3 linked regions of the Lepisosteus oculatus genome follow. The protein of the gene in region 2 purifies or fractionates together with the protein of the main gene of each other region. This does not show direct contact. Links are inferred from orthologs where the notes say so. Each region holds a gene or a part of one and is shown on either strand. Other genes may lie near its edges. The genes, in order: amot, si:dkey-92j12.5 and plekha2.

Evidence for each region.
Region 1: the proteins of si:dkey-92j12.5 (region 2) and amot purify together in Homo sapiens (affinity purification with mass spectrometry; 4 studies listed by BioGRID and IntAct, with this or other methods). This does not show direct contact. The link is inferred for Lepisosteus oculatus from reciprocal best matches to the Homo sapiens genes MPDZ and AMOT.
Region 3: the proteins of si:dkey-92j12.5 (region 2) and plekha2 purify together in Homo sapiens (affinity purification with western blotting; 3 studies listed by BioGRID and IntAct, with this or other methods). This does not show direct contact. The link is inferred for Lepisosteus oculatus from reciprocal best matches to the Homo sapiens genes MPDZ and PLEKHA2.

What each region holds. Positions count from the first base shown.
Region 1 is NC_090703.1:34,849,477-34,857,190, forward strand, and holds the start of amot (angiomotin), read left to right. Parts: upstream 1-4,714; 5' UTR 4,715-4,806; intron 4,807-5,632; 5' UTR 5,633-5,675; coding exon 5,676-5,763; intron 5,764-7,714. Other genes in the region: pgk1 (phosphoglycerate kinase 1), read left to right, coding at 617-794, 2,292-2,390, 2,913-2,953.
Region 2 is NC_090696.1:70,226,997-70,234,022, forward strand, and holds the start of si:dkey-92j12.5 (multiple PDZ domain protein), read left to right. Parts: upstream 1-4,002; 5' UTR 4,003-4,229; intron 4,230-7,026. UniProt on the Homo sapiens protein: Member of the NMDAR signaling complex that may play a role in control of AMPAR potentiation and synaptic plasticity in excitatory synapses. Promotes clustering of HT2RC at the cell surface.
Region 3 is NC_090697.1:71,439,655-71,446,865, forward strand, and holds the start of plekha2 (pleckstrin homology domain-containing family A member 2), read right to left. Parts: upstream 3,090-7,211; 5' UTR 3,070-3,089; intron 2,141-3,069; exon of another isoform or gene 2,064-2,140; intron 948-2,063; exon of another isoform or gene 589-947; intron 1-588. UniProt on the Homo sapiens protein: Binds specifically to phosphatidylinositol 3,4-diphosphate (PtdIns3,4P2), but not to other phosphoinositides. May recruit other proteins to the plasma membrane.

The sequences.
Region 1 (7,714 bases), on a different chromosome or scaffold from region 2:
CATTTAAGATATATAAATGTAGGTTAACGGTAAACTGAGGATCTGTAAAACATTAAAGCATATTTACAAACACTATGGTTTTATTTGCTTGGAGGGGGCCCTTACACAGGGTAACATTAATTTTTAGTATTGTAACCACAAGAAACAGACATGCAGGTACAGATTGTTTATACTTAACCCAGTCTCATCACTATTATCAATGAATGCTTTATAGAACTTATGTAAAGCTTCAGCAGCATGTTGTAAATTTCTGATTAATGTTGTATGTATTGAACTTCTTACCTGGATTGAATCTTTTTTCCCCACAAATAAGTTGTTTTATGTCCCCTGAAATCACTTTTTCCTAAACACTTAGCTACTAGATTTATTTATTTAGGTTCTCGAATGAGTGTTTTTTTTTTCAAATTAAGTTTGAAGGTTACTTAAATCTCCTGCTTTATTGTAAAGTGTTCCAAGTCTTTAGAAAAATATGTTTTAACCAAGAGAAAACAGTAGCTCTCTGCAAGTTAGATCTCATTATGTAACTTTTTTCTACTTTAATGTCTGATGTATTAAGGGCTTCTACCTCTCAAGTTCTGTTTTCCAAGCTCTTATCCATTTTATCTTTGTACTTCAGGGCCTGGACTGTGGCCCAGAGAGCTCAAAGAAGTTTGCAGAAGCCGTGGGGAGAGCCAAGCAGATCGTGTGGAACGGACCTGTAGGAGTGTTCGAGTGGGACAAATTTGCCAGTGGAACCAAGAACCTCATGGATAAAGTGGTAGAGGCCACTCAGAAGGGCTGCATCACCATTATCGGTAAGTAAAGGCCATCTTCAGCCTTTCTTTCCCAGATATATTTTCCATATTGTTTTCTAAAGAAAACTGCTTTCAAAACTGTGGTGGCTTCTCACAATTCCCAGAAAACCTGGAAAATCACATTTTATTTCCTGGCTAGTAAGTGATGAACAATGATAACAAATTGTTTATTAACTGGATACAGTAACCCCCCTCCAATTCAGTTTCTCTATAAAGCACAAAATAAATGTAACCAAAAAGTGCTGTATGAAGTATATGCTATAACATCGGTTAATCCTTGAAATATATTCCACTAGGCTGCATGCCTGTGTCAAAATCCTGCATTTTTCTCAGGAATCCTGTGGTATTCCTGGGCATCTTTGTGCTGCTGCCAGCTTCCTGGTCCATACTCTGTTTCTCCTATGCTTTACAGTGTTTCGCTGTGCACTTTCCTTTGTTTCAATTTGTAGTATATTGTTCCTGCGTTGTGTCCGCAAGTTATCAGCCTGTGGTGATGCTGAAAGCATAAAAGTAGGAAAGTGCTAATCTTGGCTGAGAAAATAAAGATTCTGGATTGGCTACAAGCTTGCACATAGGCACCTTCACTTGGTCGTGAGTTGGGGTTAATGAATCTACCATGTTAAAAGAAGAGGATTGAGGAGGTTTTACAGGTCCAGGCTGTATAGATTCAAGAAAAAAATAAATGCAAAATGTAGAAGCTCTAGCATTCTGTTATTTGAAAGTATTTACATCTTATCGGGAAGTTTCCAGTATCAATTGTTTGCTTATTTATTTGCAAACAAGATCTATATTAAATTGGCAAATGTTTGGAATTTCAGTGAATCTAAGTGGGTATGGATTCCACATGTGGTGAAAAATAGCTCTTTAATTAACTGAAGATATTGGAATAATCAACATAAATACCTAAATATAGACTGTTGAGGGTTATGTGGTTCAATTAACCACCCCCTAACATTCCTGACTTCAAAAGGAGATTTAGCTTTTGAAACAGGATTTGGACATTTGGCACTACCAGAGACAACTGGAAACGTCCATTTTGCCTCAAAAGTGAATCTAAGTAAAATGTTTTGTAATTGCAAACCAATTCAACCACTAGATGGGGCTAAGGGGTACCTATAGCTTAGAATTTAACCTCCATAGGAAATATTGCTAAATACTGAATAGTTCATCTAGTGTTTTGGCAGGTATGTGACCAGTTAATTCACATCTAAAATCTGACCTCTTTTGTGTTTAAATGGATGTCTCAGAGGCGTGAAGTCGAAAAGACTCCTAAAAGGTGTTTTTTCCGTCTTTTAAACTTGATTTTAGTGATCAATGGTATTTTAAGAATTTACAGAACTAAAAACATTAAAACTGTCCACAGGAGTGGTGGCACATTGACCTTAAATGTTTTAAAGCTGCCTGAATTGTGCTGGGATTTGATTGGACCTTTTGTGAATTGTCATGCTGGTGTGGGGGCTATAATGGACAGCTCACGTTGCTGTGTTCCTATCCAAGGTGGGGGTGATACGGCCACCTGCTGTGCAAAGTGGGACACCGAGGACAAGGTCAGCCACGTCAGCACTGGGGGCGGAGCCAGCTTAGAGCTGCTAGAAGGTATGAAAACCTGAGGCGCTGAGAACTCTGGGAGCTGAATTCTGAGCAATAGTCCAATGACTGCATAACATCAGATAGTATAGGCTCCTCCAGTATCCAGTTCACAATGATCAGTATTCCACTTTCACCTGGAGGAAACCCATGCAGACACAGGGAGAACATAAAAACTTCATACAGATAGCACCCCAGGAATTGAACCCAGGGGGGAAGTGGCAGTGATGACCACTGTGCCACCATGCTACCTTATGATTTTATTTTTAGCAAAAACAAGTTTCTTTATACTTTTGACATTGGACCAATAAAACAGGAATATCCTATTTTATAAATGGACATCTCATACAGCTTGCAGAATATTTCCAAAAGTACTTTGTCATTGTCTTGAAAAAAGTCCTTATTTCACAGAAGTACATTATTTCTTCGCTTTATTTTTTCAACAAGAGATGTGTCTTTGAGGGATAAGATAACTGATGTTCTGTACAATAATTTTAAATTGTTTTTCTCTTTTTTTTTTAATTATAATAGGTAAAGTCCTGCCTGGTGTGGATGCTCTGAGCAATGTCTAAAGGCCCAGGGGAGAGGAAGATCCTAGCCATGAGTTTCAGTGCACAGCCCTAGGGAACCTCTTACCATGAAACGCTTATCTAGTACTGCAGTAGCACAAATGATGAATTCCTCCCTCTGTACTGCGCAAGGGTTACAGAAAAGCTTTTAACTTAACTTGAAAGACACCTGAAAATGTGCTAAGACCCACTCTAGAGCACTTAACTGAGGAGGGGGGAGCTTTGCTGTTCACTCTCAAGCTGCTTTTTAAAAATAAAAAGTCTGAAAGCAACGCAGAACCCCTCTTTGCACTTTGCCTCATTTCTCAAAAGGGAGATGTTCACCTGAGGCAGCTGCTGGTTTGGAATTGGTCATTTGTGATCATGTTTATGTGTATATGTGTGCCTCACTTGTTAGCGTCTTGGAGAAGAGAAAAAATCCAAACGTTTGTGTAACTCTAGAATTTATATTTTGTATCTTTTTGCCTCTATCAACGGTTCAGTCTGTACTAAACGCCACCCCATGAGCATCTGTCTTGTTCTTTGGCCACAGCTTGTAGTTCTTTGGTTGATAAGATGTCTGGACAAAGTATGCAGATGAAATAAAAAGGATCAGTGTAAAAAGTCACTTGTTTTCTTTCATCATTGTTGGTGGAGATAATCCTAGAATTCACTATTTCTCCTTGCCTGCTTCCAAATGTGATTGATTGGGATTATGTTGTTTTTAATGAAAACTTTAACCTAAAAAAAATAAAAAGACCAGAAAACTAGGAATTGGATCCACTGGTAAGTAAAGATGCCTGCTGAGAAGTTCCAACCCTACAGTACAGAAGCCACCATTTCAAGTCTAGATGGTGGAAGCCATGATTCCACAGCCAATAGCACACAATTGGCCATGTGCAGCAAATTCTGTGGTTTTGTTGAGTTGGCCTGGGTAACGCATCACTCGCTTGGGACCTGCACATTTCTGTTTGTGAACCAGACAATTCCTTAAATGTTTATCTGAAGCATTCTGTAAGGTACTGCGAGACTTTGTAATGACTCAAATGAAAGTTTAGGAAAGAATGTAGTGTCCTAGGTCTACTGTTTGGCGGCAGTGGTGACCCATGTTTACAAATGAAAAATTGATGACATTCTCATGACAGTAGTGTTGCATAGTAGTGTTTTAAGGTGCATAAATTAGCACCTTAAAAATTGTGTTCTGTTGAAGCATGTTTGAAAGAAATGGTTAGAAGACCAAATGGGTTTGATTTTTTTTTTCTTCCAGTTAATCTATGTTCTGTAATCTTATTTTTCTTTGAAAAGAACGCACTGGTATTGAAGAACACAAACTAATACGTTTCATGGATACTCCACAATATTAAACTGTGTAAACTGACTGCTATAACTAGTCACTATGCGAAAAATGCTATCGTTCAGGAGTTTTGGAAGGGACAGATAAACGTGGACATCGTTGGCTGGTACATCACATGACAATGGGTATATCTTGGAACTTAGCATCTTCGTCTGGGTCATGCATACCTTATTTTATCAAGAGTGTGTATTGAATTAGCTATGTAATTAAAATTTATCAAGTTATGTCTTGAACAATGATGACATATGGGATTTCTTGGAATAACAATCCGAATGGAATAATTTATCCAAACTTGATGTTATGCTTCAAAGTGTTTAAAAATAATGTGACCTACGTTCAGATAGTATGATCAGGAAAGCTCTGTAAACCACACATTGACTACAATACCAACAATGCTCCTGACCAGCTTTGCTCTGACTCCGCCCTTTTACCTGCCCAGGTGAACGTTTCTGTGGGAAATTACATTGTCTTTTTAGAGCTGTAAAGCTAAATCTGGACATGATCTAGATGAACTAGAAGCGAGGTGAGTTTATGCAAATTATTCCATGTTCGTCGTTTGTGTCGTCTAATATACAAAAGAGTATTAGCTGGACGGATTTGCTTCTTGAAAAACAAGCGTACCTGGGTCACGGCCCGGCTCTTCGGACTCACGGACGTTGCAATCTGCAATGGAGTTTGCCGGGTACGCCTGGCAGTACTGTACGTGGCTTATGTACAAAGCCAACAAAATGGTCTCAGGTGTTTTCCTGTTTTAAACGCCCTATTTTAAAATACAGCCTTCTTTCAAAAAGCAGCATCGGGGTTTAAACACAAGAATGAATGTGATTCTTATACGTCTACTTCAATATAAAGGATTTTCTGTAAAGGCAAATGTATTACAAAACCTATGTACGCCGTGTATATCATATTGTAGTTTTCCCGTGAAATTTAAAAGTGCTTTTTTATATTGCAACATATTTTTGGAACTTACACAAAATGCTTTCTTTGTACCACTTCCTGGATAAAGTAAATGTGGCTTATTTTTTATATATTTGGATCTCTCCAACATATGGGGCATTCCAAATTTGAAATATTTTACTGGTAATGGGTAATATTCAGTCTATTAACAATTTACAACTGTTTAGGAATGCATCAACATATAGAATCGCCCGTTTCTAAACCAATTCAACGGTTAACTTGGATAAAAATCCAAGTCAAGACAATAACCTTTTAATTTAAATGGATGATTGATACAGTCATAGTATCGTTGGATCGACCATTCAAAAGCTCATGGTTATGTTGTAAACACTTGATGGAAAGAGTCAGTGAAAAAAGATGATGATGATTATTATTTTATTATTATTCCTCAGGCCACAGAAGGGGATAGGGCTGGAGACAGTCAAAGAAAACACAATGAGTGTTGTGGAAGAATGGAGTCCAGAGAATGTGGCTAACTGGATCAATCATATTGGATTCCCTGAACATGCTCTGAGCTTTTTAGGTATGATGTGCACTTTTGCCCCAGGATTACCAGAGTCCAAAATGGATTGCTTCTCATCTACATTGTCAAGGAGTGTTCAACAGTTTTTCAATTAGTGTTTAATTCTTTTATTAAAATATAAGAAATATATATTAGTGTTTTAATAACATGAACATAAATTATTTCACTTAAAAACCATCAAGAAATTTTATCATCTCCATAATTATGTATAAATTTAAAGTAGACCCCATTTATTTGAATGTCCATACATTTTCTGTACATCCATGTTTCAACTACTTATTAGAATGTGTTCTGTTTTATTACGATTTTGCCCAATCCAATAACAAATATATTTTGTCTAACTTAAGGAAGCGGTAGTTACAGTTGTATGCAGCTCGTAATTTATTAAAGGTGAGAAATCAAACTAGACTTCAAGATTTCATCTGTAATGTCAACAGATACAGGGTCGAGAAAAACATAGTGAATCAGTGTATCAAATCTCAAAGAAAAATGGTATTTTCATAGTCTTACCCTGATGGCCTTCTTAAATAAAAAACACTCTTTCCGCAAGTATCCAGTAATGATTATAGTAACATATTTCTTGTCTCTTAAAACAAAATGATGTTTGAATTGAACAATGAGTAAAATTTGATATTGGGGAAAAGTTAGTGAACCCCTAGTTTAATTAGCTTAATTAAGGTAATAATTAGAATCAGGTGTTAAAATAATTAGGTAGACCTTGGGGGCTGAGTTTGTAAGGCCCCAACCTATATAAAGATCAGAAATGGTGTGAGTTTGGCCTTCACCATGCATGTGTTTGAAATAAGTCATGCCACATGTCTAAGAATTTCTCAGAGAACCTCAGAAAAATAGCCATCGATGTTCTTCAGACCGGAAAGACTAACAAAACCAATTCTAAGTATTTGGGGCTCCACCAATTCACTCTCAGACAGTATACAAATGAAGAAAGTTAAAAACCACAGTCACTCTACCCAGGAGATGTTGTGCTACCAGTGTCTCTCCAAGAATAAACTGGAGAATCATCGAGGAAGAACCCTAGCATAACATCCAAAGAACTGCATGCCACTCTTGCCTTCACTAATGTGACTATTCATAACTATCAGACAACTTTGGTTTGAATGGTATTCATGGAAGGATAGCAAGGAGAAAAATGTTCTCCAAAAGTAACATTGCTGCCTGTTTAAAGTTTGCCAAAGAGCACATAGATTATCCACAAAGCTGCTGGATAAATGTTCTCTTGACAGGCACGGTAGATAGAACTCTTTGGCCTCAATTAGGAACATTATGTTTGGCATAAATCAAACACTGCTTTTAAAAACAGAACCTCATCCCACCTGTCAACCATGTTGGTGGGAGCTTGATGGTTTTGGGTTGCTTTGCTGCCTCAGGATCTGGATGACCAACACAACCATGAATTCTGCATTGTATCAGAAGAGTCTAGAACAGAACATCAGGCCATCAATCTGTGATCTGAAGTTGAGCCAAATGTAAGTCTTGCAGCAAGACGGTGATCCACAATTCCTCACTACAAATGTGACAGACTGATCAGCTGTTACAGGAAATGTTGAGCTCCTGTCATTGCTGCTCAAGGCTGTGCTACCAGTTCACTGAATATAAAGGTTCACATTCTTTGTCACACATGGCTATTGAATGTTGCATTGTTTGAAGATAAATGTTAATAGGATATCATGTTTTGTGTCATTTGTTTCATCAGATTATGTTCATAATTAGGACTTAGATCAAGGTGTAGTAACATCTAAGGTTTCAATATGTGAAAGAATCTGAAGGGATTCTTGGCACTGGAGCGTAGATGATGAAAACCTATTATTGAGTTAATGTTAGCCAGATATTTTTTAATTTCATATTTTAGGGTTCCTTGTCACACAGCTCAACATCCCAAACAAAGGTCTGAGACCTAAGGTACATTCATAAACAACCCAGAATTACATGT
Region 2 (7,026 bases):
TTTTGGAAGAGAGGAACACAAACAAAAATGATGAGGCACCAGAACCACTATTATTTCACATTTTTTCTATCCAGATAACGCAGTGTTGTTTCATACCAGTTTGTTAATTAAAACCACCCTTTACATTAATATAAAGTTAATTTCCTTTCAAATTGAAAAAATACCAATTAGTAGTAAATACTGTGTACCTGATCATTGATACATTCGTCTATCAACAAATGTGTAAGTCAGAACATCACAGTTTCGTAATAAAGAAATATGTGTATAAACCTATTCAAAATGTCAAGATTAATACTAAATAACAACTTTTTAGATAACATTGGTATTACCATTAAAAAAAAACTATTTTCCTGACATCAGCATTCCCCACTGTATTTTGTGGTTGGCTTTATGCAGTCAGGCAGCAATTCAGCATAATACTGTAATGATGTTACTGTCATGTGGGTTCATGGGAGGTTATTAGGCAAGGAAGGATAAACTCCCTACCTCCAGACACAGTGAATAAGCCTGAGAGAAAATAACCCTAATGCTCCACTTCTAGTACTCCAATAAACCTGAACTTTCAATCATTGCTTTTTATAGACCACCTGGGTGGAGAAAAATGACATGAATGCTTTCAAGAGGGAACCAGATAGCAAAACACCAGGTGAGACAAATCCTTTATTTCCATGAAGAAGCACTCCTTACACCCTGTTGTTCACACTAGTACTCATAGGACCTGCATAGTCCTAGTGTATCTGTGTCCCACATATCCTGGCCTGGTGCCATGACTACTACTATGTAATATTGATAAGTGATTGTAGTTTCGTGAAGTATGCAAGCAGTTAACACGTCAGTAACAGTAACTTCTGAATTCCAGAAGAATGTTTTTTTTCTATAATTTTGCCAGAAGAGACTGTGATGCAGAACTTCAAAAGAGATTAAGATGCCTTGAGAAATTAAAAAATAAAGAAGATATTCAGCATTAAAATAAATATATATACATATATTTAAATAAAATTTATAAAAAAAATGATATGCCATAATTAATGTCATACTTTGACAAAAGTGTTTGGGCACCAGGCCTTTAGTATTATGAGTGCCCATTCTGTGTTTCCTTCATGTTTTAATTTCTTTTATGTATTTTGGAACCATTTCCTGGCATCTTCTCAGTTATATATTTGAGTTCCATGATCAACTTGTGTTTCATCTGTGCAACAGCAGCTGTTTTCACAATGAAAAGGTCAATCCTGTAACCTTCATTTGTTATACAAATTCTTTTGTAGACATTGCAAAATGCTTAGGATCATTATTCTGCAGCTTGCATTCCCAGCAAACAATGGGCACAAACCAGGGTACACCCTGGATGGGACACCAGTCCATGGCAGGGCAGATACACACATTCAAGGTCAATTTTCCCAGAAGGCAATTAACACACCAGGATGTTTTTTTGGAAGAGGAAGAGGAAACCTAGAGAAAACCCACACATACATGGGGAGGACATACAAACTACACACAGACAGCACCCCAGGTCCAGAATTGAATGTGGTTATACAGATTCTTACCTTCATTTATCAGTTCAAGTGCTCAAAGTTGAGTTCCTGGTGTTCTCAAGAAATCACATGTTATTAGCTCAATGTTTTTTTTATATGATTTTGTTTATATACTGTAGGTCTAAAGTTTTACAGAAGACCTTTTTTAAAACTTCAGTACCTTAAGTCATTGGAGCTGTGGTATCTCAGGCACAAGGGCATCTCGCTCCTGACTGGAAGGTTCAGGGTTCAATCCCAGGTAGGGGCAAGCGATGTAGCTTGCTTTATTTCCTTCCAGACAGCTCCCAGGTCCGCTCAGCCTGCTTTCCAAATGAGTACTGGGGGTAAATCCTTCCGGGGGTAATAGGCTGACCAGAACGTGACGCTGACCACATCACCTCCAACTTCAGTGTCAGATGATTGTAGAAAAATGGTGGCCCTTGTCCCCCATTCCCCATTGCTCTTTATGGCCTGAAAAGGGACCTACCCTACCTACCTTACTGTATGTCAGTATCCATTGCTCAAATTTGATGACAAGAGAAATGGAAATGGTTCAGGAATAGCAAGGAACTCCCCCAGGAGGTAAACCATCTCATTGTTGAAAATCCCCAGGTATCCAAATTTTACCTCCTCCCCTAAAATCCACAAACCCGACACCCCTGGACGTCCCATCATCTCAGCATGCAACTGTCCAACTACTCACATCACAGCCTTTCTCAACAGCCTCATGAGACCACTGGTTGAAGGGTTTCCTTCATATATCAAGGACACCAACCATGCGCTCCAACTTTTTAATGATTTCCAGTTTCAGGGCCCAGAATGTGACCTAGCTATGCTAATGTTTTTGTCGGCTGCGTAGAAGAATGTTTCTTCTCTTCCTACACTGGCTTTGTCCTTGACCTCTACAGGCTATACATTGATAAGTGCGTCAGTACCGCCACATGAACTATCCCAATTCATAAAGCAACTAGTCAAATATTGCCAGGAAACACTTAGAAAAATAAGGGGTATGCATCTACTGTAATACAAGACCTTCCTTTTTTGGGGGGAAAGGGAAAAGTGTTAATATTATTTTTGTGCGCTGTGGTAGATGTGGGTTTCATCCAGTGTGTATCTTGCCTTGCACCTGTTGCTTGCTGGGATAGGCTCTGGCTCCCCTGCAACCCTGTGTGGAATAAAGTGGTTAGAAAATAGATGGATAGGTTGATTGATGATAACAACAATAATGATAATTCCTCACATTTCTATAAATTTCATCCAAAAGGATATCAAAAAGATTTGTGTATAAGAGAGCATCAATTTCATCTGTGTAATGCATCACAGTCATTATGTGGCACTGGATAGAGAAATTAACACCACATTTAATATCCTATGGGTCTAAGGGTCTTTTGTGTTGTTATGGATGTTTCTTAACCACCATTGGAAAAGCAACTGCACCTACAAGAATTACAATAAAAAGATTGAGAAACACTTGTCAAATATTGACATAACATGTGGTACTTTTTAAGTATGAGGAAGCCAGTAACAGAATTTCCTTGCATAACATTGCATCTTAATACATAGTTTATATAAAGGAATCTGGGTATTTATGATACGTAGAAATGGTGAGCACAATGCAAAACTTGCACGCTTCAGGTGATAACAAAAACTAATTTAATTTGTCTTGATGTAACTATTGAAAACAAATCAACACAATTAATATTCCTTTACTCAAATACCAAAAGCATGTACTGTACAGTAATACAAAGCCATATTTGTGGAAAAAAACTACTGTTACTATTGCAGCTTTCATATCCACCTTTAATCAGGGTGGTAGACTTAATTAAAAAATTAACTAAAAGGAAAAATCCAGTGAAGTTCTGGTTCATTAGATCATTTAATTTGTCAGCTTCAATAGTACTGCCAAGAAAATGCTTCATTTGTTAGTTCTGTCATTTTATAAGGGTGAAACAGAACAGATCGTTTCAGTGGTATATTTCATTAATTCTTGCACCTGGTTCTCATTTATAATCTCTTAAAATAATGTATTGTGTAGAATGTAAATCTGCAGTGTTAGTAACATTACCTTAGATGCTCTCTATTTTAGTTGCAGAATTTGAAGGTTAATTATGCCCTTATAAAGGTGTCGAAATAATAATTGATGTATATTGTTGCTAAAGTTATTCTTTTCATCATACGTAGTCCCGCTTTATTAAAAATATGAATCAACTTCCATATCAATGTAGTATATTTTTGTACGAGATAGTTATCCGCACATTGATGCATAGAAACCATGGGGTTAGGTGGAAAAAAAAATAACGAATAACATTGCCCTCAAACTATGTTTTTCTGCGCCGCAATTCTGCTTTCACACTTTCGACCTGTAGTATTTGTGTGATCCTGGGTATTGCGCACGTTTGTATGGGTTAAAAGAGGTTGATTGGGCTTTTCTGAGCAACCTCTTGAATGATCTCCCAACTCTGTTGTCATGGTTTCACGCAAGCAACGCCTCTGACCTTCTTAATTCTAGTCGGGGATACAGTGGCCTGTTAGAGCTGTAGCTTGTTTCAACTCTCGGTGCCGCTATTGCTGAAAATGTCTGTGGAGGATCGAGTTACACTACACCCCATCCCTAAGCCGCTCTATGCGCCGTTAGCTACAGGAGGAAGACTCAGGACAACACGCTAGGATAGGAAGCGTCTAGCATTACCGAGGCACCGCAGACCAGTCCGCGTTCGTGTAAGTGTTCTTTTTCTTCATTTTTAAACCAGCACTTTAATTTAATAGTTTGTACATGAATAAACTACAAAAGTGAAAGTCGATTTTCGACGCTGTACTGTTTTTCCGTTGTAAAAAAAACTGGATTTGTTGGCACCAATGTGGAATTAGACGGGCACTGACGATGTTTATTCTGGGGCATTGTTCTGGGACCGCTCGGATTATTTTTTTTGTTTTAAAACATGCATTGAAGTTTACTGTAATACTGCGGGTATTATCCGGACGTTTCGTTCGTGGAGGAGCCATTTGCTCTTAAAAATGCGGATTTCATCCTATGTGAATGAACTGCGTTGGAAAGCCCTGTTGCTTCAGCCAGGAGTGGGAGGGGGAAGGGGAGGCGGGTGCTGAGAAAAGCAAATTGCATTCCGCTCCAGAGGCACACAATGATACAGTATCCTGCTGGAAGGGTCGGTTGGGGGCACATGAAGGAGAATAACAAACAAACAAAGACATTGTAATGATAAGTTTGTGTCGCTTTACTCTGTGTACAGGGGCACAATCTTAATTGCATCACAGTCCTTATCTTCTTGCTCCATGAATGCTGATGCAGACCGAACCGCTGTCGATTTACTGTCTGAAATCACGGCAAGTTTTCAGAGGCTAACTGTACGCAGTAGCTTTAGTCTGATGGTTACATCAGTCACAAGCTGTAATTATTTAGAAAACCTATGTGGTCCTGACGCTGAGTTTTGGTAACTCATGTAATTATCCAAGTCCCTGGGCGTTTTAAGGCAGTTTATAACAGACATGGTCCAGAACTACATTTTATATCGTAAAAGACGATCAAAGCACATTTGTAACTGGTCTGAACTTCATTCATCCAACTCTGTTTCCACAAAATAAACGACTTCCTCGGGTTGCGAACAAATAACAAGAAACACAACAAAAACTTTCTCAAGTTTAAACCTTGAATCGCCCACTCAGTCCAGAAAATTGAACGATTTACTTCTTGAAAAACACGTTAAAACGTTAATTCTGGAACATTTTAAATATGAAATGTTTGAAAATGAAACTAGCTGTATACAATTGTATGTTGGGCAAGAATCTGGATGTAGTGAGATTATTTGTTTTTTACTTCGAATTCTGTAAATAATATGTGTTTGTGTAACATGTTGTACAGCATGTCTAAGAATGACTCCTAAAAATGACAACTGTTTCCTTAGAGCTTCTGTGAGAAGAACGTTTTTTTATTGCAGTCTGTGGAAGTAGACCTACAGCTAGTCGATTTTTAAATGACAAAAAAAAAACCACAGTATATACGCTTTTCTGAGTATGCTAAATAGATCAGATTATTTGTCTTTTAATTTGAGAGGCATGCATTTCTATTTTGGATAAAATGAACTTTTTACAATGTTGAATTATGTTTGTATGACTAGTTATATTCAGAATAATAGTAAACAAATAAGTTCCATATTGATTTGAAGGTATCTATTTTATATTTAATTATTTTTCCATGGTGGAAAGTAAAAAGAAAGTAGAAAAATCCCCACATTTGAAGTCACGTCTGACTATTTGCTTGTAGTTTCAGGAGATACAGAAGTAACAGAAGTACTATCAAGAAAATAATAACAGGGGCAGTGAATTCATGGTTTAATGCTTAATAAGTCTGATACAAATGTTTAAACAGAATTTGTAATTTGTTATTTAGGATATCAAAAAGGCCTTATTATTTGGGTATTCTTGTTCTACATTTATTACATTATTTAGGTATTTTTCATTTTAGTATATTTTTCACTTATATTTTTCTCTCTAACAATAAACTATCATCAAATGTATGAATTTAGCAAAGTGCTACTGATATTCACTTATATTGTATATATGACTAAAAAGAACAGACCTTAAGAAGTCTTTTTTTAAATTATATTATTGGTTTGATCATGACTTTGTGGACTACTCACTAAATACTTGAAGATTAAAGTTTTTAAATAAGTGTGTAAAGTGCTGAAATGTATTTGAGTTTACAAAGAGGTTAATTCCTTGTAGATAAGTATTTTAAAATTACTTTATTTTAAAAAAAATATTTAAATTTTAATTGACTTTACAGCACTTGGAAAAGCACACTAGAGACGTATCCTAAAGCCATATGCCAAGGTCACTTTATGTAGTTCAATTTAAGGCAATTTACAGATGCTAATCCTGCTGTAAGAGTATTAAGTGACAGCATCTTTGTTTAGTAGTGTTATATATAGTGCAATTAACAGTATTTTCACACATGCTTTAGTAATTTTAGTATTTGTGATGCTTAGTTTTAAACTATGCTATGCTTTGTACCAGAATCACTACGATTTTTACATTCTATGAAAGTAAAATCAATATTACATGTCTGTTCATGGAGATATTGTTCACATTTTATACATGTGCAGACAGAAGTAGCATGCTTTGTAGCACTATACACATCTAGATTTGTGCTTTTAATTCTTAGTGTTAAAGCTTTGGCACATTATACTTGTTTATCTAGTTTGTTGCTCCCCCAGTGTACCACTACAGTACAGTACATTGTTTTTAAGCAGCTTTACCTTTGAATGAAATCCACCTGTGGATCCAAGAGATGATCAGACTGGTGCAGATATCTAGTGCTGTCTGTGACCCAGAAATGACCGTTTTTATCTTAATCGCAATGTTTATTTCTGATAGGAGAAACTATGAAATGTTAAGAACGTACCAATTATTATGTATGTTTGAGTTGTAGTGTGCTTGAAAATTCCAGACATAACAGCAGCATAAGCAACAGCATAACTGTCCTCCCATACAAAAAGTT
Region 3 (7,211 bases), on a different chromosome or scaffold from region 2:
CATGGAAAATCATTTTTATTTTGGAACATAATTTCATAACATTTCATTTAGATAGGCAAAAAATCGTATTATCTTTCGGATAACACTACTAATTGATTCATTTCAGAATGAATGAACGTTCAACAATACAATACGTTCACTTCCAGTTTTGTGTTCGAATATGCATGAAGAAAAACACACGTTTTGTTTTGTTAACGCTGCAATACTAATCACATACAGTACGTTTGGAAATGCGAGTAATTATTCGTAGTAAAATACTAATCGTTGGAAATAAAATGACGTGTTCTTCCCGGAAATGTATGTAGTATTTGAAAGGTACTTTGAACGATGTCTCCTTAGCTATACAGAACAGTGCAATTTTATTTGCAGACTTTAGTTGTGCACATTACAACAGCTGACATCGTGAACGCAAACTTTATAATTCGATATCCTAAAAACTTATGGAGAGCTTCAATTTTAGCGGCGAAATTACCATGCCTGCAAATGAACGGACAGGTTGCAAGCAGTCACCTAACTGTACATAAGCACTTTGACCTGCCACACCTTTGTCATCAGAAGAGCTGTGTTAAAAGAAACCATACCACTTACCCAACTGCGATATGGGGAAAAGTTTCTGAAGTGCAAAATTCACTTACTTCCACTGATTATAAAGAAAAACTAAACAAGTTACCATTCCGTATTTGTTGACCAAACAAAGCCTTGATGTTTTTATTTCACATTTTGTGAACGTGTATGAGAGGCAAAACGCGCAAGGTCTCGTTTTTTCCGGGTAATAGCGATACAGATTAGAATAAACCAACCCCGGATATGATCTAGTCTTTTTTTTAAAAGGGGAACTTTAAAGATTGATCTGCATTCTGTTGTCCGTCTCTGAAAACAACAACAAAAAAATCTCCAAAGAGTGTGCAGACGGACCTAAAACTGAGACCGACCAAAGGCAAGAAGTTAAATGCCTTTGTAAAACTGAGAGAACAGGTTGACAGCAAGTGGTTGGTTGCCTGTCTGTTACACTCAGCGGTCCCAGCTGTGCCCAGTTTGGCTAAATAAGAATTCGCTTTTGAAAATACATAGTCCGGTTTCAAACGGTTTCATGATAGCCGTGGATTTGATACGGTATTGTAAATGACATTCAGCGATCACAGTGTTATTTTTCTTTTGCAGTCCTTCATGTGCATCTTCCATTTTGTTGTATTTCTTTATAAAATGCAAAAAACGTATAATTATGTCCTCTTTCTTCTCCGATTACTGAATATGCATACATGTACGTAGAAATGTATATTACTTTAACTTACATCCTCCAAAAAACAGTTTATTACAGAAAAAGTGATAAAACAGCAACGTGCTTTCCAAGTTGTTGTTTTTTTTCTTAAAGGCAGATGTTTTGACAAAACCTTGCAGTTTTGGGGTATGTTAAACATATAACTGCCTTGTAGCCCGCAGCACACCGTAATGTTTCGACATTTTGTATTTATTTTGGATGTCAAGAATTAATTTATTTTCCCCTTAATGTCTTTTCACTCTGTTCAAGAAGAAAGAGAAAAGCTAGGAAAAAATGGTGGCACTTTCATTTTACAGGCGATTACAATATGTAGTATTCATACTGTAGTGTAAATCATAACAACCAAAACGGATTTTCTGAGAAGTTAATCACCATGTTCTCAGTAAAACGTTACTTCAATTCAATAACAAGACCAACATGGAAAATTAAAAAAACGATGGTTTTCTCTTTAAATTTTCTTATATCTTATTTCTAAATTCAATTACAAATAAGCTATTTATCACAGCGGTTGCTTTAACTTGCTAGTTAACTCTTTCTAAATCGTAATATACTTTACTTCACACAGATCTACACACTAGCATAAAGTAACACGTGTAAATTCAATTACTGAGAAGGTTGCAAAACAGAACAATCAGAAACAGAAGTAAAGAGAGACCTAAAACGTAACATGTTTGGTAGTATCTTTGTAATAAATTCAGAACAGAAATTGTGTATGTACAGTAGGTTTTCTCTGCTTATTCGTAATAGAAGACGGAAAAAGGTATACGGTGTAATACCTTCCTACCTGTAGCGTATCTTTTAAAACATATTTTTCTAGTACAATCGATACTGTTCCTCTGTTCTGCCACAAAACGCTAGATTACGTATTGTACACCTACTATTTTGAAAGTGGTAACAAGCTGTTTGCAAAGCGTGCCCTTTTCTAGCACTGTTCAATTCATGTCGTGCACAGTACCGTATGCACAGTTAAAATCTCTCTTAGGACTGTGGATGCACCTACTGTACAATGTAGTGAGTGTCTACAGCCGTGCAGGGCAAAGAGTGACTTGTAACAAAGCCCATTAGCGAAATTCCTCTTTTTTCTTTCCCGACGGAGCCAACATGACTGCTAAACGAAGCAGAAACAACAGAGAATGTCGCAGAGCACCTTAAACAGGACAGGCAACTAAAACACAGGGAGGTACATGTGTCATAACTTACTCCTTGAAGGCTTTTGCAGACTTTGGTAGCTGAGGTATTCTCAGTCTAGCACATACCGTATTAGTTTGTACTTTGGTGACCCTTTTCTGATGGGTGGGATTGAAATACCTGGTAACTAGGGCTGCATTGTTCAGGGTTTTACAGAATCGTAGCACATAGAAATTTCAAAATGCTGAAGGGAGTTGTTACCTTTAATACTTGGTTTAGGTGGAACACAGGTTTGCACTATACCTTAAAATTGGTTAGAAGCAAATTTAGGGAACAGCACATCTACTGTATATACAAAGAGGAGTGAGTGGGATTAAATGTACAGTAAGACAAGGCTGCAGATGTTGAATGTCTAATATGCTAAATATAATAATGAGTACTACATTTAAAAAAAACTAGCTGGCGTGAGTGAACGCAGTCTGTGCAGGCATGTACTGTATTTCAGGGTTTCTGGGTAGTCCAGGGGCAGGGCAGTTAGTACAGCTGCTTCACACCTCCAGGGTCAGGTTCAGTTCCTGTTGTGGGTGTCAGTCTGTGTAGAGTTTGCAAAAGTCTTCCTGCACTCACTTGACATTTCTCCAGGTGCTCTGGTTTCCTCTTACCTCCCAAAGAAATGGTGACTAGGTCTGATTGAATCTTCCAAATTGTGCCTTTTCTGTGGCCCTGCAATGGACTGGCATCCCATCCAGGGAAAGAATAGTTGTCTGTACTCAGTCTCCTAGGAGTGCTCCAACCTTCATCAGTACAAGCAACTTTCTGACATGAGATAGAGCGATGTTAGGTTTTCATCTAGAGGAATGGATAGAATGGGAGGTTTAGAGTTGGGTTTTTTAGAGAAATGTGCAAGTATAGTACTCCTGGGTCTGCAGATTCATCAGGAGGTGTTCTGACAAATCAAGAATGTGCTCAAAGCCTCCTCTTTTCATAATGTAAAAGAAAATGTTATTATCATATAGAGCATTTCACAGTGTCTACAAACCCAGTGATTATCCCCAAATAAGAAACAGAAGTATTGCAGAATTTCACTCCAAAGACATTGCGACTTCAGAGTTTCACTGATAGCTATCAGTTTCTTTTTCTAACCAGGGTCCATATGCATGTTTGGCAAAGAAAATGTACAAATAAATAGGGCACTGGGGATGGTAGCCCATCTAGCATAGGTTTCATTTGTAAAGAAGGATCATGAACAATCATCCTTTACAAACCACTTCTGACAACACAATGTGCGTATTCATTAGGAACCACACCCTGACAGCTTGCTGATTTATTGACCAGCCACTTAAAATAATGCAATAGCAGAGTAGGAAAGGCATGACTGCTTTCTTCCACCCCTTTCCGAAAGTTTTATGACTGGCAATGCTGCTGTGAGAACTGGGCTAAGGATAAATCACATGACTCTTTCAATGTTGAAAGATGTTTCTTAAAAAGGGCTCCTGTTTACAATTTTATTCATTTATTTCCTTTAAAAGAACTTCTTTTTGCAAGAGCCGCTCAGCTGAAGCATCAGCTTTTTCGATGATGCTCAGAAGGAACTGTTCATCATAAGAGCTGGAGGTCTCACATGTTAATCAGATGTTTGCTCCCCATGCCAACAGAAGGAAATGCCATGGTCACTAAGTCATTCTCTGCATCTTAAAGGTACCACATTATATATCCAGAATATGTTAACCACATATGTGTTACATATATTTAGGGTTATATCCCATTATGTGTATCGTGTTTTATTTTCTGCACTTTGCATCTGTTGGAGATTTTAAAACTCAGATACATTGCAGAATCTGTGAATAATGCCAAATGTGATGACACTATTTCTGGACACACTCCACACAAACCTCTAAGGCACTTCAAATATTTCGAATATTACGTGTCCTATATTGGCTATCATGTTTCACATATATGCTCGATCGTTATTACTATCTCCCATCTTATGTCTCTTTTGTATCATTTTAATTCTTCTGGTTCTAGCTGTGTCTTTGATAATCACTGAATTGGAATGTTCCTGAGAACCAAAAAGCCACTTTATAAAGAAAACATAACTGAGAAATGTGACGAAACAAGATGAGAGTACTTCCGATCTTTCCATGGCGACCCTTAAAGAATAAAAACTATGCCACTAATCCCAGTACCTTTTCATACTGTATGTGATTGGGTAGATTTAAGCGACCTTTAAATTAAAACGTAGTAGTGTACTCTGTCCTCCGCATAACTCATCGCTTGTATTATAAAAGGTCTGTAACCCTTACAACCTGGTTAAAATTATTATAGTTGTATTGTGATAATATATATATAAATATTTTTTTATCTCGAAAATGTTTCACCTGTTGCAGATTACACTTCCTGTGGGTTTTTTCAGAGATAGTAAAGAAAAAAAAATTGCGCAGTTTCCACTCCTCGTGCGCTGTCCGCTAATTCCGCCACCCACTCACTTCTCCACAATACCATCACATCAGAAAGAAAGAAGACATCTCCGTTCCACGGTGCCTCAGAATTAAAAGTGCAGAACTGGATGCATTGCCCTATTCTTTGAAGAAATGCGAAAACTAGAGAGAACAATATTTCCGAAAGGAAAAAATGAAAGAAAATTGCTTTTTTTTTGCTCAGGAAAAACCATTATTAAATAAGATTATCTTGTCAAGTAGAGAAACACCGCACTTCCTTGTATCAAACCTAAAACTAAAACATTTAAGAACTGGATACTACTTTATTGACCAAGGTTACAAGAGAACTGTTAAGATGACAGGAGTTCTCGACATTTTGCACCTATTCTGACTGCCTTATACGCTACATTTGCAATGCACACAATTTGCTGAGGATTCGTGAATATTACCTGGGGAAGGTTATTGGAGTTGCACGGCCCTGGTTGCAATTGGTCTGCAACAGTGTTTGTGCAACAATTAAACCTTACTCCCTTAGCACTTCCTGATGATGCGTCTGCGTCGAATCATCTTATACTGTAACTCATCTGGCTGCAGAGAGGGTAGAGATGAAACACGCGAACAGGACCTACAGTATATGAAACCACGGAGAATCTGAAGCAATAAGAAAGACATTTAGCATCAGGAAAGCACAGAAGACATATGACCTCGCCTGTATGATGTCATTTTATCGTTGTTTCCCCCCCCCCAAAATAGTCTGAAATTGTTTAAATTTGCCATTTTTGATATTAATACAAAATTTTGACATCTTTACAAAAAACATTCGGGTTTAAATATGATGGGACATCTCAAATGAGGACATTAGATTTATTCAAAACTTTAAGAGGTCATCATGCAGTTATTTTAATTTCTCTATATATATTTTTCTAGAAAGTGAGAAGAATTATCTAATCTTTTTTAAAAGACAGACTGTTTACAAAGCAGCGCTATTTAAAACGAGTTTAGTATATATGAAATTGAAAGACCCGAAAGTGACTACGTGTATCTAGCAAAATGTAACATCTGGAAAACGAATAATACGTAAAATAAAGCGCCTGTTCATTGCGGCTTCCCAGAAGGAGATAACGTGGACAGTCTCGAGTGTATGCTCATTTTGTATGCATCAGTTTGACCTCAAAAGGAAGTCATGTTTTACGGTGTGTATAGTTAAACTGGAATTACAGCGACTTCGTTCAGAACGCTGCAAGCACAATCTAACCACTGCACATATTATGAAATGTGTTAAACTGCTTTGCTTCGAAAGAGAGAGCACGGGCTTCTGAATACAGAATTATTCGTATTTCTTTGTAAATCAATGCTACAGTACTTGCCCACAGAAAGTTATAAATGGAATTATGTAGAAAAGCGAGCTTGTTATATATATTAACTTTTTCTTGTAGTCGTTTTTAGGTGAGAATCTGATTGTATCTTCTGTTTAATTTATATTCCATTGCTTGGAAAGATAAAGGATTTTAATGACTTTCCAACAACCTCCTACAGTAATGTGAGAGGCAGCAGAGCATTAAAGGACTCGGTGGACACACATATGCTTCAGATTTATGGTGGAGCAAAAAAAACTTAACAACTGCTTAAGCAAAATGTGGAAAATGTCCCCTTCTGTCTTCAGTGTAAAGTTCTTAGAAGTGAATTCAGGATATTCTCAACACTTCCTTGCTTTTGAGGTTTAATCATTTCTCTTTTCTTTTTTCTGTCAGTATTTTTTCATCCCCTTGCTCCCAGATTTTCTCTTCACTGAATGCGCCATAAAATGAAGGTGAAGTTGTGCTCTTAATTTTGTATACAGAATGTCAAAGTCATTTGACAAATGAGGCGAGTCCATCTCTTATTAACCATACGGCACAGTTTATTAGATTCTAAAAAGCGTCCATCGCAGGAAACATTTCAGACAAAAGCTGTCTTCCCAAAATACGAAGGTTAAGAAAAAAATAAGCTGAAACTTTATTTTTTGTGTTTGGGAAGAATCGCTGACCTTTAATTGCATTTTATTTGCATCCACATATTTCAAATTTCTTTCCTTTCTCCCTCTTTTCTCTTTACAGTCCTACATGTTGGTTTGTGAGGTCACTTTAAATTCACTTTATCTTTTACAAGATGCAAAGAGTACTGACAGCCTTCATCCACTACACCGAATAGACTGCTGAACTGCAATTCGGTAGTTAAAATTCCACAAATGGGAATGTTAAATGGGGAAATTGGCAGTATTTTCCATGTTTTACATGAGTGCAGCAAAAAGCCAGGAAGACACCTGCCAATTATTATAGCACTAGCAATAGGGCAGCAATGAGGCTGAAACTTCACAGGTCTTCTTT